Linked DNA regions of Sus scrofa. The protein of the gene in region 2 interacts with the protein of the main gene of each other region in a pairwise test. Links are inferred from orthologs where the notes say so. Each region holds a gene or a part of one and is shown on either strand. Other genes may lie near its edges. The genes, in order: PLXNB3, ARHGEF11 and PLXNB2.

What was found.
Region 1: the proteins of ARHGEF11 (region 2) and PLXNB3 interact in a two-hybrid assay, tested with the Homo sapiens proteins (2 studies listed by BioGRID and IntAct). The link is inferred for Sus scrofa from reciprocal best matches to the Homo sapiens genes ARHGEF11 and PLXNB3.
Region 3: the proteins of ARHGEF11 (region 2) and PLXNB2 interact in a two-hybrid assay, tested with the Homo sapiens proteins (2 studies listed by BioGRID). The link is inferred for Sus scrofa from reciprocal best matches to the Homo sapiens genes ARHGEF11 and PLXNB2.

Annotation. Positions count from the first base shown.
Region 1 is NC_010461.5:124,504,831-124,514,599, forward strand, and holds the start of PLXNB3 (plexin-B3), read left to right. Parts: upstream 1-3,122; 5' UTR 3,123-3,273; intron 3,274-4,633; 5' UTR 4,634-4,742; intron 4,743-4,979; 5' UTR 4,980-5,228; intron 5,229-5,860; 5' UTR 5,861-5,869; coding exon 5,870-6,904; intron 6,905-7,292; coding exon 7,293-7,472; intron 7,473-8,085; coding exon 8,086-8,214; intron 8,215-8,293; coding exon 8,294-8,394; intron 8,395-8,824; coding exon 8,825-8,954; intron 8,955-9,111; coding exon 9,112-9,268; intron 9,269-9,362; coding exon 9,363-9,471; intron 9,472-9,554; coding exon 9,555-9,669; intron 9,670-9,769. UniProt on the Homo sapiens protein: Receptor for SEMA5A that plays a role in axon guidance, invasive growth and cell migration. Stimulates neurite outgrowth and mediates Ca(2+)/Mg(2+)-dependent cell aggregation.
Region 2 is NC_010446.5:93,132,548-93,141,715, forward strand, and holds part of ARHGEF11 (rho guanine nucleotide exchange factor 11), read left to right. Parts: intron 1-213; coding exon 214-256; intron 257-1,415; coding exon 1,416-1,512; intron 1,513-1,736; coding exon 1,737-1,859; intron 1,860-4,212; coding exon 4,213-4,236; intron 4,237-5,339; coding exon 5,340-5,484; intron 5,485-5,796; coding exon 5,797-5,896; intron 5,897-6,672; coding exon 6,673-6,702; intron 6,703-9,168. UniProt on the Homo sapiens protein: May play a role in the regulation of RhoA GTPase by guanine nucleotide-binding alpha-12 (GNA12) and alpha-13 (GNA13). Acts as guanine nucleotide exchange factor (GEF) for RhoA GTPase and may act as GTPase-activating protein (GAP) for GNA12 and GNA13.
Region 3 is NC_010447.5:387,221-396,935, forward strand, and holds the start of PLXNB2 (plexin-B2), read left to right. Parts: upstream 1-3,126; 5' UTR 3,127-3,277; intron 3,278-8,918; exon of another isoform or gene 8,919-9,066; intron 9,067-9,216; exon of another isoform or gene 9,217-9,527; intron 9,528-9,715.

The DNA.
Region 1 (9,769 bases), on a different chromosome or scaffold from region 2:
TGGGTTCAGAACCCGACTAGTATCCAGGAAGATGCAGGTTCGCTCCCTGGTTTCACTCCGTGGGTTAAGGATCCAGGGTTGTTTCACTCCGTGGGTTAAGGATCCAGGGCTGCCGTGAGCTGTGGTGAAGACGGCAGACGTGGCTCGGATCCCGTGTTGCTGCGCCTGTGGTGTGTGCAGTTGCAGGTCCCATTCCATACCTAGCTCCCCCCCGGGCACGTACGGATGCCCCAGGTGTGGCCCTGAAAAGAAATTTTAAAAAGTAAATCATATATATAAGAAACTGGAGTTAAAAGGATTGGATGTCAAAACAAACAAACAAAAAGCATTGTCTCGTGGCTAAGCCAGTTAAGGATGCAGCGTCGTCACTGCAGCGGCTTGAGTCGCTGCTGTGGCATGAGTTCGATCCCTGGCCAGACAACTTCCACACGCCCCCGGCATGGCCAACAACAACAACAAAGGGTTGGAGAAGAAACCCAAAAGAATCCACAAAAGGAATTATTAGACTTAACGCAAAGGGTTTACGAGGTGGGCTGAGAGAGAACACACACAAAAGTCAATTGTGTTTCCTTGTCGTACACACCAAACCAACACGATATTATAAGTCACCTCTAATTCAATTTTTTGTTTTTGTCTTTTTGCCTTTTTTCTAGGGCCGCACCCCTGGCATAAGGAGGTTCCCAGGCTAGGGGTCTAATCGGAGCTGTGCCAGAGCCACAGCAACGGGGGATCTGAGCCACGTCTGCGACGTACACCCCAACTCACGGCAACGCCGGATCCTGAACCCACTGAGCGAGGCCAGGGATGGAACCACTAAGCCACAGCGAGAACTCCCTAATTCAATTTGTTAAAGTCAACTGTGTTTCTATGTACCAGCAGAAGAGGGTAGGACTTCCCCTCATGGCTCAGCAGTTAACAAACCCGACTAGGATCCCTGAGGTTGCGGGTTCGATCCCTGGAGAGACATCCTACGCTCAGTAGACGGGGAAACAATATTTTAGAGACGACTCGTCTCCAGAGGGATTCAAAATTCAACAAAATCTTCACTTACTCCTTCAAAAAAAATCCCAATAGAGTTTTTCCTGGAACTATGACAAGCTGTTTTTGAGCTTCTAAGGAAAACTAACAGTGCCTAGAACAGCTGAGGAGGTGAGATCATTTTGAAAGATCAGGAGGACCGGGCGGAGGAGGAAAAGGAGAAAGAGAAAGCGAATTTTAAGAAGTGACTCCCCCGTATCAAGACCTGCTTTGAAACCTGAGTAAGTAGGGAGTTCCCTGGTGGTCCAGTGCTCGCTACTTTCACCACTGTCGCCTGGGGTCAGTCCCTTGTCTGGGAAGTGATTATATTCAAACTAAGACATGTGTTCGAGATCCCTTGCGACGCAGTTTAAGGATCCGGCGTTGCCCCTGCTGTGGCTCCGGTCGCCCCTGCGTGCAGGCTGGATCCCTGGCCCAGGAACTTCCGTGTGCCATGGGCGTGACCACAAAGAAAAAGGAAAAAGGAAAAAGTTGTGTTCGTCAAATGATATCACAAGCAAACTGCAAAGAAACACAAGTCACGGGCAGAAAGAGGACATAACAGACCAAGGACCGGTATCCGGAATATGCAAAGAATCCCTCGAGACAGTAATGGCAAGACCACCTACCCAGAAAAATCGGTGAAGGCCTGATCAGGCGTTTTGCAGAAGCTCGGCATTGCCAGCGGTCGGCCAACGCCAAATAAAAGCCCAGCGAGGTAGCACCATTTCACACCCAGTGCACTCGGTCCAAGTTTTGGTGCAGATGAGGAGAAGGAGAAAGAAGTGGCTGCACAGTGGCATCGGGAATGTCGTGCGGGCCAGCAGCGCCGAAATTGATTCCTCTGCGCCCGGCGCCCTGACAGCGTGTGTGCCCGGTGACCGGGCGAGTCCCCAGCCGGCATCGGGAGAAGCCAGCCCTCAGCACCCCTGTCAGGGACACAGGCATCGCCAAAGGACAGCCGCCAGGGTAAGGAGCCGTTTGCAGAAGGAAAATGACAGTGGGACTCCCTTTGTATCATTTTAAAGCTCACAAAATTCACTTAACCCGCTGAGCAAGGCCAGGGATCAAACCTGCATCCTCATGGATACTAGTCAGGTTCTTAACCCACTGAGCCACAGCAGGAACTCTACCAAACTTCCTTCACGAAGACCCCAACGGCTCCATTGGCTATGTCCTCCCACCTCTCGGACCCCTCGGTCCTCCCAGCCTCCCCTCCACTGGCACCCTGGCTCCCTAGGGAGCAATGCCCCAGAGAAAAAAACCCAGGGAGCTCCTGCCTTCGCCGCTGATGCCATGCCTAAGGCCAAGTCTCTGGGCTCTGCTCCTCCCCAGGGCATGTCTGGATGCCTCCCCTCTCTTGATGCCCAGAGCCACCCCTGGGCCAGGCTTCCCCCAGGCCAGGCCTCCCCCATGCTCTCCACCTGAGGGCCACCCGTTTGCACCCTGCCCAAGCGCAGAACGAAGTCCAGTGCTTTTGCCACAGTGCATTAGGTTTAGCGCCCCGTGGCCTGATGGTTAAAGGGCAGGCGCCTTGTCACTTCCTTGCTACATGACTTGGTGCAAGTTCCCTGACCTCTCATGCCACCTTCCCCACCTGTGAGCCATGGGCGATAGCTGCTCCCCCCTGTGGGGTCATCGGAAGGACTGGAGGATGACAGTAGGAGTAGAACCGTGGGGTTCAAGGTCAGCTTAAACCTCACTTCCTCTGTGAAGGTCTCCCTGATACCCTGAGCAGCGCCACCAGACTGGACTCCCCTTCCTTGCTGACCCACAGTACCCGCCACGGATGGGCTGTCCTAGCAGGAGGGTCCTGTCTGCTGGCAAGTAGTTCTGCCCCTCAGACACTTGCGGCAGACGGCAGTGGGCTTTGTCTCTGAATGGCCCCAGGGCAGGGGCCATGTCTGGCACCCAGTAGGCACTTCATGGAAGGCTGTGAAATGCCCAACTGCCTCCCTCGCCCCCCTCCCCGTCGTGGGAGGGTACCACCCCGCTCTCACCCTTTCCCGACAGGTGCGCGCAGCCAGCCTGCCGTCATTCCTCCAGAGGCCAGCAGAGGGCAGCAGTGCCCTGGCCCGCGCCGCTGTCGGGTGAAGGGGCGGGCGTGGAGGGGCTGGGCTGCCTGGGTGGCCCGCCGGGACAAGTCGGGTTGGGCGTTGGGCGCGATTGCATTGTGGGGCAGGAGGCTGGGACTCCTCCGGGACACACTCCTGGCACCACCAGCTTCTCCTCAGCCCCTGCCGGCGGCCCACCCAGGTAGGCCGGAGCCTGGGCTGGCAAGGGCACTGGGGGCAGGGGTCAGCAGGTCACCAGGTCAGTGTGGGGGGGTGCCATCTGGGGGCATGCTGGGGCCCAGGAGAAGCCAGGGGTCTGCAGGCGGACTAGCCTGAATCCGGCAAAGACGCCAGCCCCATCCCTGTGCCGACACCGCCTGATGCCTGTGGCACAGTTCCTTCCCCACCAAGACCGGGGGGTGGCCCTGGAGCTGGAAGGGAGGACTCGCGGGGCTTCTGCCCCTAAACGGGAGACCTGGCACTTCCGGCCACAGGGCAGGGCATGGGGTGGGGAAGCAGCCCGCCTGGCTCCCTGCCCCCACAGCCACCCAACCAGCCCAGCCAGGTGGCAGGAGCCTGCTGCTAACCACCGCGCACACACGTGGAGAAGATGGGGACCCCAACTTGAGCACACCTGTTACTGCACCTCGGGCCACAGCCCTCGCTCTGCCGGCCTGGTGTACAGATGGCGCCCTGGGAGGGTGGCAGGAGAGCCAGCTGCAAGCTGCCACTCCCTTCCCCATCCCAATCCCATGTGTGCAGGACTGTGTCTCCCCCGGGGGAGGGAGAGGGGACAGCCGGCAAAAAGCCGCCAAGTCTGAAGCTAAGGGCTTGCTTCCCGCCCCCTCCTGTGCCCCCTCCAGAAGCATCCTCCACCAGCACTGCCCACTGCCACCAGACTGTACCTGGCACGACTTTGCCAGTCCCCGGGGATGGGGCCTGATGGGGCCAATCTTATTCCGGGCTAAGGGGGCAGGGGGGTTCGGGGAGAAGGTCTCCTGGGCGGGCTGCCTTGGCCAGCCTCTCCCCTGCCCCCAGCCTGGACAAAGGCAGGCATTGAGGGCCAGGACTTGCCTCCAGCCCGGCACCAAGGCTACTAAGGCTGAAGCTGGCATTGCAGGGCTCAGAGCCTGGCCTTTGCATGGGGGCTCCATGGCCTACCCTGTGCCCTTCACAGAGACCCCGGGGGGCGACACAAGGGAGGAGCACGCTGGCTGGCACGGGGCATGGGGGAGGGGTGCTGCCTGTGTAAGGAAACCCTGTCCCTTTGTCCCCAGATCCCAGGGGGTGTCTCTCTGGGGGTGGGGAGTGACAGGGAGCCCCCTGGGTAGGGATAAGAATACCAGATAGCGGGTCCCTGGCCTGGGCCTCTGGACAGAGGGGACAGAGGGGACATTGTTGGGGTGGAGGCAGGGCTGCCTCGGCCCGGCCCCCATTGACAAAGCTGCCAGCTGTGGTGGCGCCTGGCTGCCAGGCCCTCGGCACCCCCCAACCCCCTCCCTGCCGCCTCCCCTGGTGGGACGTGAATGAGGCCAAGCCTCAACTATCTCCCTCCCACTCAGGACAATGCCCCCCCGCAGCCGCCTTGTGCCCGTCACCACTGCCCCAGGGCAGCTGAACTGAGATGGCCACGCTGCCCGGGAGGCACCTCTGCTGCTCCCCTTTGCCACGGTAAGTGCCTGAGCCCAACGTGCCCAGAGACCTTCCCCTGGGGACGCGCAGGGCCAGGAAGAGCCCGAGGAGCCTGGACGCCAGCACTGCACCTCCCGCTGCGGTCGCCCACCCCAGACACTGGCGCCGATAGCCGGGGTCTGGAGGAAATGGCCCTGTCCCCAAGCCGGTCCTGACCTTCCTGCCTGTGTTTCTGAGATAAGGGCTCAGGGGCCTTTCTCGGGGCTCTACCCGCAGCTGGCGTGCCCGCCAGGGCCCCGAGCTGGCAGGATGCTGAGTGACAGTGCGCCTGCTCCCAGCCGGCACACGCCCACACGCCCGGCTGTGCGGGACCCTAACTCAACTTAGGACCTGCTTCCGTCTGCATCCGAGGTCAGGAGGAGGCTGTGGCGCAGGGGCTGCTGTGAGTGGATCCTGGCTGGGCAGTGAGGTGGCAGGACCCAGCGGGAGGCCCACTCGGAGCCTCCTCTGGGCGCCACCTGACAGGTGCGGAGGCACCACGCCCGCTGCTGCCGGGCCTTTCTTTCAAGCCCTCCCCTCCGTCGAGGCCTCCTCCCAGCTGTCTTCTCTCTTGTGGCTTCCCTCCCCACGCCACCCCTCCCTGTGCCGCTGGCGGAGCCCATGCTGGAGCCACGGGGGGGTGGGGGCAAAGGACCGGCCTCCTCCGGCCCCTGCACCCCGCGTGGTCTCTCGGTGCCCTCAGCCCTCACCACCGCCCTCGCTGGCTTTGCAGGGGAGGGTCCCCCCCGCCCCCCCGCCCTCCTCCCCCTGCTCTCCCCGCCCCCCTCTCCGTTGCTCGGGGTCCCTTCGCTGGTGCTCCTGTGGCTTTTCAGGATCTGCCCCCTCCGCGTTGAGAAGAGGATGAGGAAAAGTCCTGCTTCGCACATGCATTCGCCCTCCCCGCCCGGGTCCTCTGCCCCTTCCGCCTGCGACCCTTTCTCTCCCTCGTTTTGTCCCTCCCTTTGCTTCTCTCCGCCCCCGCTTTCTGCTTCCGTCCCTCTGCCCCTCGGTCCTCCCGTGCCTCACTTTCTATCCATCTCTCTGCTGGACTCTTCCATCCTTCCGTTCCCATCAGCGCCCTGACTGGCGCCCTCTTGCCCGGCCTCCCCCCCCCCCAGGGCCCCGCGATGGCTCCCCGGCCTCCCCTTGGCGCCCTCCTGCTGCTCGTGCTGCCGCTGCTGTGGCCACCACGCGCCCCGACCCGGGCCCACCGCTTCTCGGCACCCAACACCACCCTCAACCGCCTGGCACTGGCGCCGGACCGGGGCACGCTCTACGTGGGCGCCGTGAACCGCCTCTTCCAGCTGAGCCCCGAGCTGCGGCTGGAGTCAGTGGCCGTCACGGGCCCCGTCTTCGACAGTCCCGACTGCGTGCCCTTCCGGGACCCGGCCGAGTGCCCGCAGGCCCAGATGACCGACAACGCCAATCAGCTGCTGCTGGTGAGCAGCCGGGCCCAGGAGCTGGTGGCCTGCGGGCAGGTGCGGCAGGGCGTGTGCGAGAAGCGGCGCCTAGAGGACGTGGCGCAGGTGCTGTACCGGGCCGAGGACCCTGGCGATGGACAGTTTGTGGCCGCCAACACCCCAGGAGTGGCCACGGTGGGCCTGGTGGTGCCTGGGTCGGGCCGGGACCTCCTGCTGGTGGCCAGGGGCCTGGCGGGCAAGCTGTCGGGCGGGCTGCCGCCCCTGACCGTGCGCCAGCTGGCCGGACCGCAGCCCTTCTCCAGCGAGGGCCTGGGCCGCCTGGTCGTGGGCGACCTCTCTGACTACAACAACAGCTACGTGGCCGCCTTCGCCGATGCCCGCTCTGCCTACTTTGTCTTCCGCCGCCGGGGGGCCCGGGCACAGGCTGAGTACCGCTCCTACGTGGCCCGGGTGTGTCTGGGAGACGCCAACCTCTACTCCTACGTGGAGGTGCCCCTCACCTGCAGGGGCCAGGGCCTCGTCCAGGCCGCCTTTCTTGCCCCGGGCACCTTGCTGGGGGCATTTGCTGCGGGCCTGAGGGGAGCACGGGCGGCCCTGTGCGCCTTTCCCCTGGCTGAGCTGGACGCGAGCATGGAGCGGGCCCGACGCCTTTGCTACACGGCGGGAGGCCAGGGCCCCAGCGGCACAGAGGAAGCCACTGTGGAGTACGGGGTGACATCGCGCTGCGTCACCCTGCCCCCCGTGAGTGCCTGGGCCCCCTCTCTCCTCGCCCGAGGCTCTCCTTCCCCCTTCTGGCAGAGGCTCCGGCCCTCTCCCGGGCCTCGTCTTACTTGGCCTGCCTGCCCCTTCTGTCCCTGTCCCTCTGAGGACCTGCAGCGTCTCCGACCCAGGGCCGGGGCTGCCGGACGCTCTCACGTGACAATGCCCCACGGCCGCTGGTCTAGAGGATGCCAAGGAGGGGCTGGCTCAGTCCGAGCCCCCTGGCTCGCCTCAGCCTGTCTGTCCTTCCGCCCCACAACCTTAGCTCTTCTCGCGGCTGCCTTGTCATCCTCTCCCCACTGCAGATCTGGCCCCAGGAAGGTACCTCCTACCTCCTCCGAGAACCGATCCCCCGCGCTCTGCCCCGCAGGACTCCCCCGATTCCTACCCCTGCGGCGATGAACACACGCCCAGCCCCATTGCGGGCCGCCAGCCCCTGGAGGCTGGGCCTCTGCTGCAGCTGGAAGAGTCCATCAGCGCCGTGGCAGCCCTCCAGGCAGATGGGCACACGATAGCCTTTCTGGGGGACGTCCAGGGCCAGCTGCACAAGGTAAGGGCCTGGGCAAGGAGGGGGTGGCCCTAGGCCGGCCCCCAGCCCCCAGCCTCCATGCGGCCAGGCCGGGCCAGCCTCAGTGGCCTGCCTGGGTGCGCCCTGGCCCTGGGGCGGCTCACAGAAGCCCCAGATTCCTTCCACCTGGGCCTGTGTCCTGCTGGCAGGTGGGAAAACCATGCCACACACCGATGGCCGGCTGGGTGCCGCCTCCTATCCGGGCTCCCAGCTGTGTGGCTTATGATGCCCCCCGGGCAGCCCCGTCCCCTCCGGCCGATAACGGGAGACGCGGACTTCTGGTGGCCTCCTTGTCCCCCACAGCTGCCCTTCTGCTCCTGGCACCCAAGGGCCCCACCATGCCCGGCCTCCCTGGCTGGGGCATGCCGAGTCAGGGGGGCACCATGGGCAGGCTGGATGCCGATGGGCCTACCCAGCCTCCCCGCCATGGCCAGGGCTCCCCGGCCTGGCGGGAAGGGGAGCCGGCTCTGTGGGGCGGGATGTTCCCTCCCAGCCAGGAGAGCACATGCCCCGAGCCCTTGGTGGCCTGTGGGCATCTTGAGAGCGAGCCTTGGCTCGGTGGGCTGGCCCAGCCCCGTCCTTGTCATCCTCCCAGGTCTTTCTCAATGGCACCCAAGGTCAGGTGTACCACTCACAACAAGTGGGACCCCCAGGCTCCGCCATCAGCCCCGACCTGCTGCTGGACAGCGGCGGCAGCCACCTCTATGTCCTCACTTCCCAGCAGGTGAGGGCTGTCGCGGGGGCCGGGCGCGCGAGGCTCCAGGCCCTGCACCCACCACCTCTGTCCCCCGCTGCCTGTCCAGGTGGACCGGGTGCCCGTGGCGGCCTGCTCCCACTTCTCTGACTGCACCAGCTGCCTCCAGGCCCGGGACCCGCTGTGCGGCTGGTGTGTCCTCCAGGGCGGGTGAGTGCGGAGCTGTGCCCTCACACGGGGCACCGTCCAGCCCCCCCGGCCTGCCCCAGCCTGCCAAGCCGCCAAGCTGGCTGGCGTCCGCTTCCCAACACTGCCAATGTTGTGTTGTGCCAGGCCTGTCGCCTCTCTCAGGGCTCCCCCGGCCCACGCCAGCTCCCCTCCAGACCATGCTCCACAGGGCACCCCCAGGAATCCTTCATGGCAACCCTAAGTCAGATAGATCCACGTGCGCCCCTCCAAGCAGCCCCCCTCCACTCCTGAGAGTCAAGGCCCGGCCCGCACATGGGGCCGCGAAGCCCTCTGTGCTTGGCTGCTTCTCCCTCTCGCCCCCACTGCTCGCCGTGCTCTGGCAGAGCCATCCTCCCAAATCCCAGGGCATCTGCGACCCACGCGGGGACCGACTGGGCCCCTGCCCCCGCAGGTGCACCCGCAAGGGCCAGTGCGGGAGGGCCGCCCGGCCCGACCAGTGGCTGTGGAGCTACGGGGACAGCCACTGCCTGTACATCCAGAGCCTGCTGCCGGCCCACCACCCCCGCCAGGAGCCGGGCCAGGTGAGGCGCCTGCTGCCGCCTGCCCGTGGCACTGCCCCGGCCCCCTCCTCGCCCGCCGCCTCTGCGCCCACCCCTCGCTGCCCTGGCTCCATCTCCCTGGGCCAGGTGGGTCCCCCGGAAGCCCCCACCTGCTGTGTTTTCCTCGCACGCGTCCCAGGTCACCTTGTGGGTGCCTCGGCTGCCCGCCCTCGCTCTGGATGAATACTACCACTGCGCCTTTGGGGACGACGAGAGCTTGGCTCACGTGGAAGGGCCCCACGTGTCCTGTGTCACTCCTCCCCAGAACCAGCTGCCGCCTAACCCTCCAGGCGCAGGTGAGGGGCCCCCGGGCGGGGGCGGGGGGGAACGAGGGCAGGAGCCGGAGGGGCAGGGGCCACATGACCTGCCTGCCGCCGCCACCCCTCCCAGACCACATCACCCTGCCCCTGGCGCTGATGTTTGAGGACGTGGCCGTGGCTACCACCAACTTCTCCTTCTACGACTGCAGTGCTGTCCAGGCCTTGGAGGCGGCTGCCCCGTGAGTGGCGGGCGCGGCTGCTGGGCAGGGGTGGTGACTCCAGATGGCACCCAGCCTGAGCAGCGCCTTGCCCCCCCCCCCAGGTGCCGCGCTTGTGTGGGCAGCCTCTGGCGCTGCCACTGGTGCCCCCAGAGCAGCCACTGCGTGTACGGGGAGCGCTGCCCGGAGGGCGAGAGGACCGTCTACAGCGCCCAAGAGGTGGGTGGGCCCAGGCAGCTGGGTCCCTTCACCTCCGCTGTAGACCCACCCTGCCCTGTGCCCCCCAGGCTCCTGGACTCCGCAAGTGCTGAGGGGTCTC
Region 2 (9,168 bases):
CAGAATATACAGTCCCAGCTTGCCTCGTAGCCTCCGATGCCAGTTCTCAGAATCCCTAGCTAGAGTTCAGTGGAGATGGGTGAGCGGAGGTGGGGTCGTGTAGGGAAAGGGGGAGGAGAGGTAGTGCCCAGAGCCCTCCTTGCCCCCGCACGATTCCCACCATGCCCTGGGGTGTGTGGACCTCACCACTCTGCCCCCTCTTCTGTTTTTCAGCCTCTGAGAGTGAAGGTCCCGGAGATGTTACAGGCTGAGATTGGTAAGTTGGCTCCTTGGTCATCTAGTCTCTTCTTCAGAGGTGGCTTCAGGGATGGAAGGGACATAGTCTCTACCTTGGGCAGCTGTTCTCTAATAGGGGATATGGGGACCTTTCCTCCAGAGCTCCTCAAAGTAGCTCATGGACAAGCACAACCACTGGGAGCTACTCTGCCTGATCAAGCCTGTCACGGCAGGGCACGAGTTGGTCAGGAGACCAGGGTCACTTCTGCCAACCTTGCACCTGACCTCTGTGGGCCTGGGTTGGGTCATCTGTACAAAGAGGAAATTGGATTCCTAAGCCTGGTCATCATCAGGATCCCTTGGGGGCTTCTGTCTTAGAATTACCAAAACCAGGGCCTCCCCCACCCCACCCCACCCGCAGAGTCAGACTCTCTGGAGTGTTTCTGCTCTTGTGTTTTTGGTGGTGTGTGTTCCTAAACCTGTGCTGGGTGGGGAGCCAGTGAGCTAGGTGATTGCTCTGTTCCCTTCTCGTTGTCAAATCATGAGTGGAAGAGCCAAGGAAGGGTGCCAACCTGAGAGGCTAATCACAGGAGCTTTCTAGAGGGTCTTGGTTCAAAGCTGCCTTCAAAAAGAGGTCCTTTAAAGGCCTGGATGATAGGAAAGCTAATGGGCACAGACAGAGGGTAAAGAGAACTTGCTCCAAAGCAGAGCAGAGGGTGGCCAGCCACTCCCGGAGACGTAGCCTCAGCTGAGTGAAGCCAGGTGCAAGGACAGGAGAGACACCTTCCAGTTTCTGGTGGGAAGTTGGGTTTCCTGTGCAGTGCTTGCCTTTTGCAGCCTTGTGAGCTGACCCTGGGGCGGTGGAATGAGGATGAGCCTTGCAGAGGTGTGCATTTAATGTCAGAGGGCAGTGTCTGGACACAGGCAGAGAGGGGATTTAATAGTTCTCCACTCAATGGAGTGTGGAACATCCCGGAAACGATTTTGTCCTTGCCTTGGGACTTGGATGTCAGAATTCCAGTCCTGAATTCAGGAATGACCTGGTAGGTCCAGGCCTCCACTTCCCTTGGCTGACAGGAGGGCAGAAAGCCAGCCTCTGCCCCCGGTGCCACAGGCAGCTAAGAGGCTTTGAGATGCTCAGCAGATGTGACCTCCTTCTCCCGACATCCCTCCCCTTCCTGTCTGGGCTCCCACCACAGACCTGCGCCTGCGGAGCGGCGAGGATGTGCGCGCTGTTCTCTGCGAGGCTCAGGAGGCCGCCATGCCCGACATCCAGGAGCAGATCCAGGACTACAGGTGCCCGGTGCCCCCCGCCCCGCTCTCCCCTCTGCCTCCTCACCCTTGTTCTTGACCTGCGGGGTATGTGTCTCGTGTGTGTGTGTGTGTGTGTGTGTGTGTGTGTGTGTGTGTGTGTGTGTTTGTGTGTGGTGTGTGTGTTGGTGTGTGTGTATGGTGTGTGTGTCTGTGCACCTCTCTGTCAGACGTTGGTATACGTTTGTTTCTTTCGCTCTCTGGCTCAGAACAAAGCGCACGCTGGGGCTGGGCAGCCTGTATGGTGAAAACGACCTGCTGGACCTGGATGGGGACCCTCTCCGCGAGCGCCAGGTGGCGGAGAAGCAGCTGGCTGCCCTAGGAGACATTTTGTGAGTCTCCGGTTCCACTCCCACCCCTGAACATGCCCAACAGTTTGACACAGTTTGTGGGTCTATTTCCTAGTCCCTCCCCCTCTGCCACTTCTTGCCTGATCCTTCTTCCCCCGAAAGCTGGGGAGAATCCTGCCCTCCTGCTCCATTTCTCAGGCCGGGTCTGTGGGAGTTTCAAGGGAATTGTGGAGCCTGGAGCTTCTGAGGGCAGTTTGGTGGTTATAACAAACCTCGGGCCTCAGCATCGCAGTGAGCTTTCTGGCCCCTTCCTGCCGCTAAGATCGCATCTGACACTGAGTACAAGAGCCATGCAGTGATTCTCCAGGGGGTAAAGTTCCTTCAGGAGGCAGGCAGAACTGGCTTACAGGAATCAGACCGTTTTTAACTAATCATATCGGAAGACTAACCAAACTAAACTTACGAAGGAACTCCTGGCACAGCTGCTGTGAATGCCTCTTTCCAGCCCTATTTTCTAAAGTGTTTCAGGTGCCTGGGTTGACTTTGTGGGGACACTTCCAGGCTTAGAGGTAGATTTTCACCCCAGTACTGCTTCTCCACTCAGTAATTGTGTAACCTTGATCAAGCCATTGCATCCCCCTCGGTCTCATCTATAAAATGACAGATCTTGGGCTAGACAATCTCTGTAGCCTCTACTAATGCTGATACTTCAAGCCAGCAAGTTTTTATGGAGTCTCCGATGGTGCTAAGCACTGTTCTAGGCTCCTGGGATGCATTAGTAGAGAAACAATGTTTGTGGAGCTTGTGCTATTGTGGGAAGAAAAAGCAGTGTGTATTATGCAGGTAAATTGCAGAGTACATTAGAAAATGAGGGTTGGGGATCAGGGAACAGAGCAGGCCAAGGGGGCCCAGGAGCATCTGAGCCAGGGGATTGCACCTTCAAATAGCGCCTCATCCAGACGTTTACATGTAGGGGGCATGGGCATCCTCGGAAAGGGGGCATGGGCATCCTCGGAAACATCTTGGAGGAAGAGCATCCCAGGCAGAGGGAACAGCCAGGGCAGAGGAGCGACATGCTTGACATGTTTGAGTGCAGAAGTCAGAGGGGCGACAGGAGAGGCGGCCTCCCAGAAGCTGTGGACAGTTGTAAGTTTCTTTCCTCCCAGTGAATGAGGAACCGTTGGAGCCGGGAGCAACTTGAGAGTGGTGGGAGAGCAAAGGAGGGTTCCAGGCAGGGAGGTCAGTTACAGGAAGTCCCCCGGTAGGGCTGGCATGGGAGCATTGCCCCTGGGGCTGTGAAAGGAGTTCCAGGTATGTTTTGACAGGAGGGCCAACGGGAGGATTTCCTAACAATTGATGTATAGGATGTGAGAGAAAGAAAAACCAAGGAAAAGGAAAAAAACTCCACGTTTTTTACCTAAATGACTAAAAGGACGAAGCTGCCATCCGTTGAGTTAGGTACAGCTGTGTGAGAAGCGATCCTGTGGTAGAAAATCAGGGCCTCGGTTTCAGACGTGTCAAAATCTCAGATCTCTTTTAGACATCAAAGTGGAGAACCGAGTAGGCAGCTGCCAATAGGAATCTGGCATTTGATGAGAGGTCCCACGGAGAGGACATATTTCGTCTTTGAAAACAACCCTCCAACCTTCAGCTGAGCCCTGAATCTTTCTGGGCCTTAGTTTCCCTAGCGATCAGATGGCGCTGATCACCCCGATGACACCAGGGATGGAAGCAAAAAAGCTGCCAGAGCCTGTTCTGAGATTGTAGGCACCACAGAATTACATGGGATTGTTATTGACAGCATAGGCACCCTGCTTCTAATGGCTTGTATTTAAAAGAATGCAGCCTCCGTTTCATTAAATGGAGATGTAATGGATTATTTGGGTATAAATAGTATACATGTAAATAGCCCTTGGCCCATAGCGAGCACACAGATATTAATTGCTGTTCCCACTTACCTCTTTTAAATAGGTTCCCCTGAATCAGGTCCCAAGGTATTATCTCCGCTGTCTCACCGTCTTTCCTCTTGCCTCAGTGTCAGCCCGACCCTTCTAATTGAGTTCTAGGTGGACACAGGGAGGAGCCTCTTCCTCCCTAACTTCAGAGGCTGAAACAGATAGCAAGCCAGAGGCTGCATTTGCCACGCGCCCCTTCCTTTTAGCTAGAAGGACTCCATCATCATCATCACTCTCTGCCCATTGAGTCCCTCAGCGGAGTGAGGACCCGCACCTCCTGAGCCCCAAGGCGGCTCCAGGGCTGAGACCAGGAGTCTGAGTCTGACTCCCTCCCCGCCATCCCTTCCTCTAGGAAAGAACTCACCCGCCTCCCGGTGTGGCACAGGCGGACAAGCCTCTGCCTTTGCAGTCTGAGTCATCTGTTCTTTCTTTTGTTCCAGGTCCAAATACGAGGAAGACAGGAGGTGAGTGAGTCTGTGGTGTGGTTTCAAGGTGGGAAGGAGTGGAATTGAGCTACCGGGCTTTGCATCTCTGCCCATCACAGGGGAACCCGCAGCATCATAGGATCACCAGCTGTGCAAGTTTAGTTCCCAGACGCCCGTGTAACCATAGCACAAGGAGGTCGCTGCCTGGGACGTGTGTCTGCTCCTCGGTGTGAAGACACCAAGCTGCCAGCCCTCCCGGCACTCCTGCTCCTGGTCTCCTCCACCCACGTCGCCCTGTGTCTGCCTCCCCACTTCTCTCTCGTAAACCGCCTAAAGAAGGAACAGTGATGGGGTCACCCCCCGGGAGCAGCCCCTGCATTGGGGAGCTGGGGCACAACACACGGCTTTTCTTGGCACACTTTTTCCCTTTCAGCCTGTATACATACATGTCTTTTTGTTTCTCAGCAGGCGATGTTAAATGAGTGTGCATTCCTTGAGCATACACACACTTCATAAGGGAGAGACGGTGGGGTTAGAAGTCTGTTTGAGAGAGGAGGAAAGCCAGGGCCAAAGCATTTGCTTCATTGAATCCGCAAAGTGGATAATCCATCTTCCAAATTGAGAGCCAAATAGATTTTTAAACACAGAGATCTGGATAGTTTCATTCGTGGCACTTGGAAGCGACTCGCCAGATCCTTTCCATCTCTTTTTCCCCCCTGTCCCGGGGGTGGGAGCTTGGTGGCGAAGGCAACTGACCTGTACTTAGAGGGGCCGCTTGGCATTTTTCCCCCATCCGTCTGCCACTCAGCCCTCTCGTGTGTGCCTGAGGACATTAGCCGTGGGCCACAGCGATTCTCCAGGCCTGTTCTCCTTACCTGCTTTTGTTTGGGGAACTGACACGTCCTTCCGCAGACCCCTGTCCTCTCGTCAGGTGGAGTTCTGTGTAGGAAAAGAACACAACTTCTAGAAGTCATGACAGCCAAGACTTTTGCTGGCTTCTGCCTGCTGTCCCATTTGAATATCCCAGGCGTCCTTCCGAACACCCTGGCTCTTCGCCACCCACCGGGTGGTGGCGAGATTTTGTGCAGCAGAGTTCGGGCTCTGCCACCTGCTGAGCTTTCTCACCCCCGTTCCTCTCGCAGTGCCCCCATGGACTTCGCCCTCAACACCTACATGAGCCATGCGGGGATCCGCCTTCGAGAAACACGACCTTCCAACGCAGCTGAAAAGGCCCAGTCTGCTCCTGACAAGGACAAGTGGCTACCCTTCTTCCCGAAGACCAAGAAGGTGACAGAGCTGCCCCAGAAAGCAGCCATCTCTGGGTGTGGCCCCCTGCATCTCTGGGTGTGGCCCCCTGCACTGAGGCAAACTGGGGTCTAGCTGCCTTTGGACGTGGAGTCATTGAGAATCCCCAGGCTAGAGCCATGCTCTCCCTTCCTCCAGCCCCAGGCCAGAAGCACATGTGCTGGTCCTGGGTACAGGCATGAGTCTGTCTTCCAGTTACTTGTTTAGGGCCCGTCATTGGGGCAGTGACAGGGGGATCCATGGCCAAGTTAGGGTACTGGGACCTTCTCCAAACCCTAGCGTCTTTTGTCTCAGCAGAGCAGCAATTCCAAGAAAGAAAAGGATGCCTTGGAGGACAAGAAGCGAAACCCAATCCTCAAGTACATCGGGAAGCCCAAAGGCTCTTCCCAGAGCAGTGAGTATTTGGGGAGAAGGCACTGGGCGGGGATCCCAGCTCCTTCACAGGCCAATTCATGGGCAGAGGGTCTTCCTGTGCATCTGGGAGCCACAGGCCCAGACTCCGAGATCGCAGCCTGCCCTCAGCGCTCCTGTCTTCTCCCTTCGCCACCCCCAGCACAGGCGCCTGAGGTACAGGTAACTGCTGCAGAGCCAAGGAGGCCGAGCCAGTCCATGGGTCTAGAAACTCAAAGCCGGTTGTAGGTACTGAGCAGCCATGAAGAGGAACTTTCCCCCTGGGCAAGATTGCCCTATTGACAGTCAGTGCCTGCTTCGCCTTCATCCCTGGGATTGGTCTGTCCTGAGGGCCTGTGTGTTAGGATGGGCCCTTGATAGTGAGTTTCAATTACTGTTTAGCAGAATTAGGTAGAAAGGGGGCAGGTTGGGGCCCCAGAGGTTCCCCTCATGCCATTGGTAACCAGACCTCCATTGAGCTTGTCACCCATTCTTCCCAGCTGTGTGTCATCTCTGAACGTTGCTGCTGGCCCTCCCAGTCACTATCTTAAGACCCCAGAATTAGTGTTGGGAACCCGGGAAGGGCGATGGCCCGGGGCCAGCTGCCTTTCCGGAAATTGCTGCCTTGGAGGAAGTGGGGGAAGGCGGGGACTCGCTAGCTCAGCCCTGATTTTTGCCACTACCTTTCATTTTCCTGCTTGATATAATTTTTATTTTGACTCTTGAAACATTAATTCGACTTTTCATGGTTTACTTTTGTTTTTGTTTGTTTTCTTTTAGCATTTCATATTCCCTTGTCCCCTGTGGAAGGTAAAAGGACCATTTTCTTTGGGTTTTTCTTTGCATTAGCATTGAGTTTCCATTTCCCAAGTCCTGTCTGCCCTTCTCCTCTCCTTCTTCGTCTCCTCCTGCCCTGGCTCTCCTTCTTCCTTCCCTTTCCTCACCCCATTGCTCTTATATGCACCTCCATTGCTGTAGAAGCTCCCTGTGGCACAAAGCCCTGCCCAGGGGTTCCTGTCCTCACGCTGGGCACAGGATTCTGCCTGCCTGATGCAGGGTGGGTGGGGCTGGGGCGCTGCCCCCCAGGAGCAGCTCCTCTAGGTGCCTGCAGAGACCAGCTTCTGGGCCCTCAGAGACTGTTCCATGGCCTGAGGCCTTTCTCCCTCATTGTCACCTTTCCATGGATGGGGCTCCAAAATCCAGGGCTCTGTGTCAGTGAGGAAAACCCTCACATGTTGAAATGTCCCATACGAATTCCTCAGATTTTGTTTTCAATTGAAAAAATTATAAAAATCCTTATTTTTGAATGTTATGTGAGGGGTTTTTTTGGTTTTGTTTTGTTTAGTTAATAATGAGCCTTTAACAGTTTTGCTTTGGGGTATTTTAATTTCTGTCATCTCCTTTACTTAAGCCCTTCACTGTAGCACCTCTGTCTCTTTAGACTCCTAACTTTGCAACAGTTAAAAACAATGACCCTAACCCATGTATGTTAGAGGACCTGATATCTTCTAGAATCTGTGTATTAAAAATAAATATATAGGAAGTTCCTGTTGTGGGAACAAACCTCAGCAGGAACAAACCTGACTAGTATCCATGATGATGCAGATTCGATCCCTGCCCCACTCAGTGGGTTAAGGATCCGGCATTGCCTTGAGCTGTGGTGTAGGTCGCAGATGTGTCTTGGATCCTGGCTTGCTATGGGGCTATGGCTTAGGCTGGCAGCTGGAGCTCTGATTTGACTCCCTAGCCTGGGAACTTCCATATGCCTCAGGTGCAGCCCTAAAAAGCAAAATATATATATATATATGTACTATATATTATATGTATATATATATATATACATATAATAGATAGTAACCCAAAAAGGCTTATTAGCACTTAGAACTAGACAGGTTTATTTCCCATCAACAAGGTCCATATGCATACAATTAAGTGATTAATATATTCTAGGTTCTGTAGTAAATCAAGAGGAGAGATAGCAGTGAGATGCAATTAGGAAGTTAATCTTTGCTAGAATTCATTTCATATAAAGTGACGAAAATAATGGTTTTCAAAATTATTTTTACAGTTAAATTCCTAGGCTTGCTATGCTATTGTAAACAATAAAAATAAAGAATTCAGAAAAAAGGAGTTCCCTCTGCGGCACAGTGGGTTAAGAATCCAACTGCAGGGGCTCAGGTCACTGCAGAGGTGCAGGTTCTATCCCCAGCCCAGCACTGTGGGTTAAAGGATCCAGCTAGTCACAGCTGCAGCTCTGATTCAGTCCCTAGCCTGGGAACTTCCATGTGCCATGGGTGCGGCCATAAAGAAAAAGTCCATAAAACAATGGGAAAAAAATAAAAGAACAAGCTTGAAACCCAGACCCTTAGTTCTTAACACATACTTCCTCCCATCCACCCTGCCCCGGGCCAGCATGAGGCAAGCAGCGGGCCTGAGACCAGCAGCCCTGCCCAAGTTGCTGCTTTGTGTCAGCCTGAGAGGGGACAGGAACACCCAGGGTGGGGCTACAGATCCCAGGAGCAAGATAAGGATGCTGGGGATTCACCACCTTTGAGTCAGATCTTTCTATTATCATTTCAAGATTGGATTTGATGTTCTCAGGTTCCCAGGACATCAGACAAATCTGTATGTGTATCTAAAGACCAAACACCCACCAAAGCTAAAAAGCCTCAGTGTTGAGAACTTGGCCATTTAGGATCATCGCTCTTGCCCCTGTTTATTAGCAAAAGAACGTGATTGTTAGTAACGTACAGTTGACTTTTGTTTAGTTTCATGGTCACTCAGAAAATGGAGGAAGGAGAGCAAATGCTACCAGTGAAAACTGCTCTTTTTCAAAAATGTGCTCCTCTCTAGCTGTTTGTTTTACTGTTGCTCTGGGTTATTCACTTATACCAAATCTCAGGACCACACCTATTGCTTGTCACAGCTAGAGTGTAACTATATCCCAGGAACAACTGGGCATTTTCCGGTGGCCAGTGGGAGAGGGCGCTGTGGGCTCCGCCTGGAGGCGTTCTGTTATAGGATGTTCCCAGGCGGCCGCATCATCACCCAGCCAGGGGACGCTCAAGGCTGTGGCTGTGCAGCTGCCCCTGGCTCCTGCAGCTGCCCCAAGGTCTTCAAGCACACTCAGTCTGGGACAGGTAGATCTGACGCTCATCTACAAGATGGGAGTGATGGTAACAGCCCCTGCTCCAAACGCATACACACAGCCACATATTTTCCAGTTTCAGCAAAATGTCACCTGCCTAAAGAACATGAAGTGGTGAGCTTTGAAGA
Region 3 (9,715 bases), on a different chromosome or scaffold from region 2:
GGGCCGATGGTCAAGGGGCCTAGCTGCCCCTGGCAGCCTGGGTCTGGCCGAGCTTCCTTCTCCCTGGTCAAGCACGAGGTCCCCAGCAAGGTGCCTGCTGCTCGTGGTCTTGGCCCCTACCCAGCACCACCACTGTCCCAGCAGTAAAGGCAGCATCTAGAGCCGCAGCTGGCCCCTGACTGTTGGCACATCGTGAGCTGGCCACAGCCCCACCTCCCCCTGGGCCCCACTTGCTTCTGCAGGGTCTTGGGCCAGGGGGGCGGGGCCAGCATGGTCCCCCTAATCTGATCTGGGCCTCTGGCCACCAGCCCCCTCCAGGCACCCATCTGCCTGAAACCTGCCATCCCACATGTGGTACCTGATGTGTCCTTTGGGCTCACCCAGCTGCCCAGCCCAGGTCAGAAGGAGGTAGCTGCCAGGCAGCCCACCCATCTGTCTGTCTGGCCTGGGGGCACCTCCCCATTGTCATTGGCCTGGGAGCAGGGAAGCCACTTTGCCCTGAGAACTCTGCCCTGTGGGCGGTTGGGAGGCTGCTGGGGCCCTGGTGGTGGCCAGGAGGGTCCCGGGCACTGTTTCCTTCCAGTCCTGGAACACCCCCTGGGCACAGCTCCCTTCCTCTGCCCAGGCTGCTTCTCGGCTGCGTGGCTCTACCCCACATGCAGCCGGAGGGGTTTGAGCCTCCAGCCTGGCCAGGTGCCTCCGGCCGGAGCCCCCACAACCACAGCAGCCTGGGGACACCCCATTCCTTGGCAAGGAGCGACAGGCCCTCTCAAGTGACACATGCCACCATGTGATACCTTGGCGTACAGGGCCCAGTAGTGGCCAGCACTGTCACAGCTCAGCACCGAATGGCCAGCACTGTCACAGCTCAGCACCGAGTGACAGCACTGTCAGCCAGCAGGAGGGGGAGTGGGGGTAGCAGGGGTGAGGCCTTCGGGTAAGTTCCACCTTACCCAACCCTGACGCCTCGTCAAGGGGCAGGGCCCTGAAGGTGCCTACATGGGCATCACGGCTGCTTGAGCTGGTCCTGGCAGGGCCTTCCCTTGTCTGCTGAAGCCCCACAGTCCAGGCCCTCCCAAGTGGCGTCGTGTGGTGACGCCACCAGGGGACAGCAGGCGCTGGTCTCAGAGCTGCCAGCATTGACTTGTCTGGCCCTGACCACAGCCTCAGACAGCTGGCATGGCCCCGTCCTGCAGAAAACTGAGCACAGTCTGGTGCACGGCTGCAGTCTGACAGCAGCGTAGAGGCAGCAGAGAGAGAGAACCAGCTGGAGGCGGGGAGTGCGGAAGGGCCTTGGGGCCCCAAGCACCACTGTGGACAGCCTGTCTGGTCTGGGGAGTGGCCCAAGGGCCATGGCTGCCGGGCATGGGGGTGGCTTGGGACATCGTGACCCCACCCGAGAGCGGGGTGCCCCAGCCATCACTTCAGCGCAGAGCACGGTCACCTCCCTTCCCAAGTAGCCAAGGGCTGCATGGGGGACTTCAGCTGCCCTCCGTCCAGGAGGTCTCCGACTCCTGCGTGCCATCTGGAGGGCTCTGGCTGCGTCTGCGCAGCACCTCAGCGCGGGTTGTCTTCAAGAGGGACACCTGGCAGGGTGGGCAGTGCTGCGAGGGGCTGGGGGGGGCAGAATCTGAAGCCTTCCCTGGGTGCCTGGGCCGAGGAGGGCCCAGACAAGGTTTCCGGGCACAGTGCAGCCGGGGTGGGGGCTAGGTGTGGAGTCCTGCCAACTCCATCTCCCCAGAGACTCCTGCCTTCCCTGCCAGGATCAGGGCGGCTCTGGCTTGGCTGAGCCTCTGTCCCCCCACGGGGCTGGGGTCAGAGAGTGAGGAGGGCAGGGGGGGCAGGTGGGCAGAAGAGGCGGAGCCATCTCCTACCAGAGCCCCTGGGCAGCAGGGCCTGGAGGGGCTGCAACTCCTGGTCTGAGGCCGGGGTGTGAGGGTAGTGGTGTGCGTGGGCCCGGGGTGGGGGTGGGGTGGAGGGCGCCAGTGGGCGGCTGCAGGGACAGGAAGGACAGTCCTCACCCCCCAGCTTCCTGCACTCTATTTAAAGACTCTCTTTTAGGCTGGGATGGTGGCCTTCCCACATCTTTGGTATTAAAATGCCCTGTGACACAATGCTTGTCTTTTAATTTCCTTTTTTGACAAAAGTTGGCATCCCTGTCAGAACTTGGTTATTTGAGGGTCCCCTGTGATGAACGTGGGGTGGGTCTTGGTGTGATTTGCTTCAGGGCCGAAGGGGTGAAGGTTTGGCCGGCTGGGTGGGGGTGGGAGGGTAGCAGGAAGAACCGATGACGGGTGACCCACCATCTCCAGTGGCTTCATCTGGGTTGGAGGCTGAGATAGAGGAAATGGAGCATCTGCAGGGAGGGGAAGGGCTGGGTGGAGAGTGGGTCCCCAAAGATGGGAGGGGGCGTCCCGGTATGGAAGTAGAGGTTAGGGCTGGGGAAGGGTCCCACATCCTTCCTGGGTCCTCTGCTGGAGACTGTGGGTGGGGGGCAGTGGAGCCCCCCCCCTGCTCAAGTCTGAGGGGCTGGGGGCATCAGGACCAGGATGGGTAGGGGCTGGAGTGGCCGGACGGACGTGGGGCAAACTCTAGTCCAGAGCTGGAGCCCTGGGAGAGGCTCATCTCACCACCCACCTGCGAGCACCCGAGAGAGTAACTGGGTCCTGTGCACAGGTCCCCAAAGGCTCACTGGGGGGGGGGGTCCCAGGGAGTAGGAGAGCAGATGGAGGCCAAGGATGTACTTGAGGGGACACAGGGCAGGTGCCCTCTTCCCCTAGGAGGGTGGGAGGCAAGACCCAGCAGCTCCGAGCCCCCCCACAGGGCAAGGGCGTGGCCCGCCTGGCCTGTTCCCCAGTGTGAGGGAAGGGGTGCTGGTGGCCGGCCCCTCTCCGACAGAACTGCAAGGGTGCCTCGGGGACCTCGGTCTGGCCCCCGCTCTCCTCCAGTACCCAGACCGGGGCTCCCCTGGCGCCAACTTGGACCCGAACCAGGCCCGCGAACGCGCCGCGCCCACCGTGGCCAGCGGGCACCAGGGACGCGGGGGGCGCCCCGCCCGTGGGGCCCCTGCTCTCCCTCCGCCCTCCCCCCTCCGCTCTCCCCTCCCCCGCTCCTCCCCTCCCCTCCCCCGCTCCCCGCCGGGGGCGGGGCCGCTGCTCCCGCGCGCTCCGGCCCCTCCTCGGCCACACAAAGGCCCGTCTCCATGGCAGCCGCGCGGGCCGCAGCACAGCGCCGAGCGCGGCCCGGGCGCCATCGAGCCTCGGCGGCGGACGTGCAGGTACGGAGATGCGGTGCGGGGCCCGCGGGGCGGCCGGCTGGGGGGGCGGGTGGCCGGCCGCGCCGCTCCGCCCTGGCCTGGAGCGCTCGGGACGCAGGGGGACTCGGGCCGCTGCCGCCCGGCGGAGGGCGACTCGGGCCTCTGCCGCCGTCTGTGTGTCGGGCCGTCCGGGGCCGGGCCACTCCCGCCCCACGCTCTTCCAGGTGGCGGGCGAGGCCTGCGGAGCCCGAGACAGCGGGCCCGGCGCAGCCAGGGGGCCCCGGCCGGGCGCCGCGGCCCCTCCCGCCGCCCGCGTCCCTCTGGAGCCCCTCGGACCCCTTGGGGCTCCCAGAGCTCCCCCCCTGCTCACGCCCCCGCTCCTCTGGCCTCGGAGATCGGTGCAGGGGGCGGAGATGGTCTCCGTTGTGCCAGAGCTCCAGGCCTGCACCGCCTCCCCACCCCAGCTCTGGTTCCCCGGCGGCGGCCGAGGCGGAGCCGCGGCTTTCTCCCCGGGAAGCTGGGCAGTGGTCGGGCCTCAGCGCCCCGCACCCCCGGGGCCTTGTGAGGAGGGCGGCAGCCAGGACCGCCCTGGGAGCCCCTGGTCCGCACCTGGCAGGCTGCGAGGCGGGTGCGCAGTTCTGGGCTGGGACCGGGCGCAGCCCAGCGCTGGGCAGGTCCCGGGGGTCCCCGCCTGCTTCGCCGCGCAGCCTGCGCCCAGTTGCCAAGGTTTATTGGGGTGCGGTTTGGGTGGACACTCTGGGGCCCAGGAAGTCTCTGCCGGCCGCCTGGGCCCTGCCCCCTCAGGCTCGGGCCCTGCACCTCTGTGTGCCTCCTCCTGCAGGAAGCCCTCCCAGACGGACCCTTCCCACTCCTCTGCGCTCAGCTGTCTGGCAGATTTTGAGGGGAGTCCCTGAGCTCAAGAGCCTCAGCGCTTCCTGCCACGTCACTGGGCTCTTGCCAACAACTTGGAAAAAGAAGGAAGGGGTCTGGCTGGGCTCGGGGCCTGTGGTGGGGGTCAGGCCTGGGGGTGAGGCTCAGCCCCAAAGCTCGTGGAATGTTCTGGGGCTTGGGGACTCTCTGGGCCCATACCTGCCCTGGGGAGCTCCTCCTTCCAGGTCTAAGTTCAGCCCCAGTGCCCCCCTGGGGCAGAGGTGGGGCAGGACCTGTGGAGGTGGGAGAACAAGCCCAGGGGGCTGGGGGCTTTCGGCCTGACCCCGCGTCCAGATGGTATCCTGGCACAGAGGGGAGCATCTGAGGGTTGGACACCTGCGGGGGGTGCTGTGCTCTGAGGTGAGGGTCCCTAGGAGGGTCACCGTGGGCCTGGCCGGGCCCCTTGGGTATTTTTGGTGGTGTGTCAGCTTTGAGGAATTCCCGGAGGAGACTGAGCGCACGCAGATGGTCCCAGCCTCCCACCTCCTCCCTCCCCTTACCTATGGGGGGGCCACCTCCTTCTGAGGAAGGGGGGCTTGAGGTCTGGCTGGGGCTCCTTGCCCCCGGAGGGGAGGGAAGTTAGAGAAAAACAAGGGTTTGGAATGCAAGTCCCCCCCTCCCCCACCGGCCGCCTGCCAAGAAGGAATTATTTTGGATTATCCAGCCGTGTCCAGCCACCCAAGGGGGGAGGCCACAGCCCTGGGAGAGAGATCCGCTTCCGGGGCCGCGCAGAGAGCCTCCGAAGGGAGGGACAGGCAAGTCTGGGCAGCTCTGCCACCTCCGCGGCTGCTCAGACCGGTTGGGGGCAGGGTGGGGGCGATGCGTCACCCTTGGGCTGGAGAACCGCCAGAGGTCGCAGGCAGGCCCTGCTGGGAGGGCCTGGTGCGGGCCCGGGCCCCTCCAGGGGGCGGGGGGGGGCGAGGGTGCGGAGGGAGTCCTGAACCCTGTTCCCTGGGGCCCAGGGCAGCGGCCCAGCCAGGAGCCCCCTTCACCCCAGAGGCCTTAGCACCGTGGCCCCAGGGCCCTTTGAGGCTGCCCTCCAGGGCCCAGGTCATGGACACACCTTGGGCCGGTTACTCACACCGGTGCTTCCCTGGGGTGACGAGCGGGCAGGGCGGGATGGCTGCTTAGGGTGGGTGGGGCACTGGGCTCTCTCACTGGCTGCATCTCAGGCCACCCTCCTGCCTCTTGACTGACCCACAAACCAGCAGGCGACTGATGCACCACGGTTCTCCAAGCCCCTCCGACAGCCCAGCCCTTGTGCCCCCAAACCCCTCCCACGTTTAGATGTGGCACCTGTGAGCCCATCCCATGGCTGAGGAGCTCAAGGCCAGAGATGGGTCCCTTGGGTCCTTTCAAGGAGCTGTCTGGGATGCTGCTTCTGCTGAGTGGGCTCCTGGGGTCCACTTCGCATGTGTGCAGCCGGTGGCCCTGTAGGGACCACGGTGGGAGGCAGAGCTGACAGCTGGGGCCCAGTGCAGGAAACCCAGGGGCCTGGCCCCAGCCCAGGCGAGTGGAGCGGAAGAGATTGGGGTGGAAGGCACGGGCGGGGGCTGGCAGCCTGAGGAGGGGTCCATATGGCGTGTGCCCTTCTCCCCCAGGACAGCTCGTTGCAGGCCCTTGAGCCGTCATGGTGTCCTGTTCCCAGCCTTGAACTCACAGCCTGGGGGTCAGAGCTGGTGAGCACTCTGGGTGTGGGCAGAGGGTGCCCTGGCAGGACAGGCTGTGGCTTCCAGCGCCTCTCCCGTGGTCCCTTTTCTGGTCTGGGCAGGTCCACTCTGCAGTCCTTCTGCAGGAAGTCCTTACACCACGCCTCAGTCCTTCTTGCTGCAGCGACAAGGCCCCCTGTCCTGCCGTGGCTTCCTGGCCTGGGTGGGGGGAATAAGCTTTTCTCCCCTGTGGAGGAGCCTCATGCCCAGAGCCTGCCCTGGACAAGGGTGTGGGTAAGGCTGGGGGCCGGTGAGGGGCGGAGATGAACTGGTCAGCCTGCCTGGACTCGAACCCAGGCCTGGCCAGAAGGAGGGGGCTGCGCTGGTCTCCCGGCCTCTACCTCCCTCTGTCAGGCGGATGCAGGTTCACTGGCGGCCGGTCCCTAACTGGGGGTGGGGGCTGGCCCGGTCCCTGCCCCTGAGGCTAAGGGCTATTTGTGTTTGGGGTGGGGTGGGTGGGGCCTCTAATCGTCTTTGGTCTCAAATTACAGGCTGGGGAGGGTGGGTCAGTGGCCTGTCGTGGGGGGGCACTGTGGTGCGGGATAGGGGCCAGAGGAAGTGCTGAGGTTCCCTTTTCTCTCTGGACCACATGTGGGCCCTTTATGGTTTTCCCTCCTGAGTGGTTTCACATCCTTTGCTGGACTTCTTCTTCTGTCTGCCCCTGGGGCTTTGAGGACCTCCGTGCCCCCCCACCCCCACCCCTGCTGACCAGGCCAGAACCCTGCTCTGCCCTGGGCTCCCCAGCCACAGGTACAGCCCTGGCTGGGCCCCTGCCCGCAGTGTCACCAGAGCTGGTCCCAGCGCTGGGTTCCTCTGTTCTGAGCTAGTCTCGAACCTGTGACAGTGACTGGACCCAAACCCCCGGTGGAGTTGGGAGTGCCCGCGGGAACACCAGCAGGTCTGCCTCTGCTGTCGAAAGGCAGAGCCCAGGGCTGGCCCCCACCTGGAGCCGGGGTTTTGTTTCCCACCTTTTGTCACTCTCTGGTCCCTCCTGCAGCTCAGCACCCGCCTCGCAGCTCCCCCAGCCCCGCCCCCACCTCGCTGGCAGCTTCCTGCCCTGTGGGCTGGCCCGTGGCCCACCTGAGTACCTGGTGCCCCTTGCACTGGGCAGAAGCGGCAGCAGGGACTAGGACGAGCTGGGTGCCCACACCCTCGGCCTCAGCCCCTGAGATGGCGTGTCCTCCGAAATCTGGCAGCTCCCCATCCTGGCGCCAGATGCGTCCTGGCCTGGGGACCCAGGGAGGGAGAGCGAGGCCTTTGGGTAGAGCCTGGGTTCTGACCCCAGCTGGGCCATCAGCCCTGCCTGGACGGCACTTCTGGGGTGAGACCGGACCCCTGGGGTGGCGCCCCTGCTCTGCAGGCGCAGCTGGCCAGCTGTTCCCATGTGGGGCTCTGGGAGCAGAGGGACGGTGTCGAGCCCGGATCTCCGTGCCTGACGCTGCGCCCGCTGGGCCCCCTCCTCAGGAAGAGCAAGAAAGAGGAAAAAGGTTTGATGTCAGCCTTTCAGGAGGCCACCTGTGTCAACAAAGTGTCCAGGCAGGGGTGTCTGCTCCCGAGGTGGGGACAGCTCCAGCCACTGGCCTGCTCTGCTCTGGGGGCCCTGAGCCAGCATGCCACCTGTGCAGGGCATGGGCCTGGGTTGATTGGGGCTCTACTGCTGCCGTCAGCTCCGCTCAAGCTGGCTGCTGACAGCCTCAGCCGGACTGCTGTGTGGGTGGAAGTAGGGACAGGGTGACTGGCTGCTGCCCCCTCGGGTCTTGGAGTGCTGAGGGGAGAGTGCTGAGCGCGTCCCAGAACAGCTCTCGGGCTGGGGAGCACGGTCTGTCTTGGGGCCCCAGGGGGCTTGCGGCTCGAGTGGCAGATTGGGGTGGCCGGGGCTGTGTGGGCCCTGCCATGGGCAGTCGGTTCCCGGACCATTCGTTGGGTGGACTCTGCGCCTCCCCACCCCAGGGTGTGTGCGGAGGAGGGGCTACTTTGGAGATGGCCCAGGGCCCAGGCCAGGATGCAGTGAGGCTGGTGCCTCCCCTGGGAAGGTGGCCGCTGCCCCTCTCGCCCCCAGTGGTGGGAGCTGGGCAAGTTGGCAGGGTGGAGGGCAGATGGTGGGAGGGAGCGGCCCCCGCGTGGCCCACCTGCTCCCTCCCACATTGGAGTTGCCCCCCTTGGGTGGACTGGCCAGGGGACCGGAGGGGCTTGGCTTCCCCTGTCTTGGCCATGGTGAGCCATGGTGGGCGTCAGGGGAAGGGCTTCAGGATGCGGGGTGACAGGCAAGCCTCTGTAGGTGAGCCCCTGGGGGCGGGGGGTGCTTCCCGGCTGTGCTTCCTGGGCGCCCCTCCCCCTACGCGGTCCCAGCCACCTTGCTGCCCCCGACTCCTGCATCATGTCCCACCTGCCCCCCTGCCTTATCCTGAGCTGGGGCGTTGCCTCCCTGGAAACTCTCTGTCCCTCTGCCCTTCCGAAGCCTAACCCTCCCCGCACACCGGACCCCAGACTCTCTCCAACACCGCCACGCACCCTGTCCTCACCAGGCCCCACCCCCACCTGCGTGGAGCCCTGCCTAGCAGCCCGGAGCTGTGCCCTGTGCTGTGCCCTGCACACAGGGCCCTGCCCCCACCTTTCCCACACAGGGTCCCTTGAGGCCAGCTCCAGGCTTCTCGGCTCTCCTGGGCGTCCTGGGCCGAGCCAGGGCTGGGGCTGCGGCTCCTGCCAGCCAAGTGCTCCTTCAGGTGCTCTCTGCCCGGGAACACTCAGGATGCTGGGGCCGGACCCCTGTGGCAGGCACCCCCTTGGCATCACAGACGTGTGTGCTTGCACATGTGTGATCACATGTGTGTGTGTGAGTGGTGGCTGGCTCGATGGCTTGGCGCAGTGCCTCAGGCTAATTGCGGGGTTCGGCTGTGATGGAGGAGGCGGGGTTGGGGTGACCGCCGAGGCGCTGACAGAGTGACAGGGAGATTACAGGCCTTGCCTGCTCCTTGCTCACTCAGGCCCTCCCCTGCCCGCCCCCACGCCCCACTCCCGCCTCCTGCACACGGCCCGGGAAGGGGCTCTGGGCGGGGGCTGGTCCAGGGCCAGCTGCAGCCGCCATGAGCCTCGGGCTGCCTGGCCAGCAGCGTCCAGCCAGCTGTGGGAGGTCAGCCTGGCAAAGAGGAGACGAGTGGGGACAGCTCACAGGTGGGCGCTGGCAGGCAGGGAGGCAGACCAGACCCGTGGCTCACGCCTGCCTTTGAGCCCAAACGCCCTCAGGGCCGCTCCTAGCCTCTCCGGGCTTGGATGGGGGTGCGAGGGGGGGGGGCTCGGCTCCTCCCATAGGAGCCCCCTCTGTGCAGGCAGCTGTCTGGGCTGCTCTTCTTGGCCTCGTTTGTGCTGGATGCCCTGAAGTGCCTGCCCCTCCTGATATCTCACTCCCTCTTCCTGGCCCCTCGGTCTGATTACAGACCATCCACTGGAGAGCTGTCCCTGGAGGGTGTCCACGCTTGCCCAAGTGCCAGCCCCATTCACCTGGGCATTGGGCATTGACTGAGTCCAGTGGCACCCAGCACCCTTTGTGGCAACAGGACGCACTTGGGGGCTGCGGGCTGAGCAGGTCGGCCAGGTCAGTGGGCCGGGTAGGGGTCACCATCAGCATTAAGCAGGTGCGTGTTCTGAGCCAGAGGCGAGCCTGGGGTGGAGGGACCAGGGAGGGGCCCGAGCTGAGTCTGTGTGGGACACGGTGGGGGCTGGGCCTCAGGAGGGGCGTCTAGGAGGAGGGGGTGGGCCTGGCACACGGCGGGGCTGTGTGAGGCGTCCGGACCTAGCGGATCTCACCGGTCCTCGGTGCGCG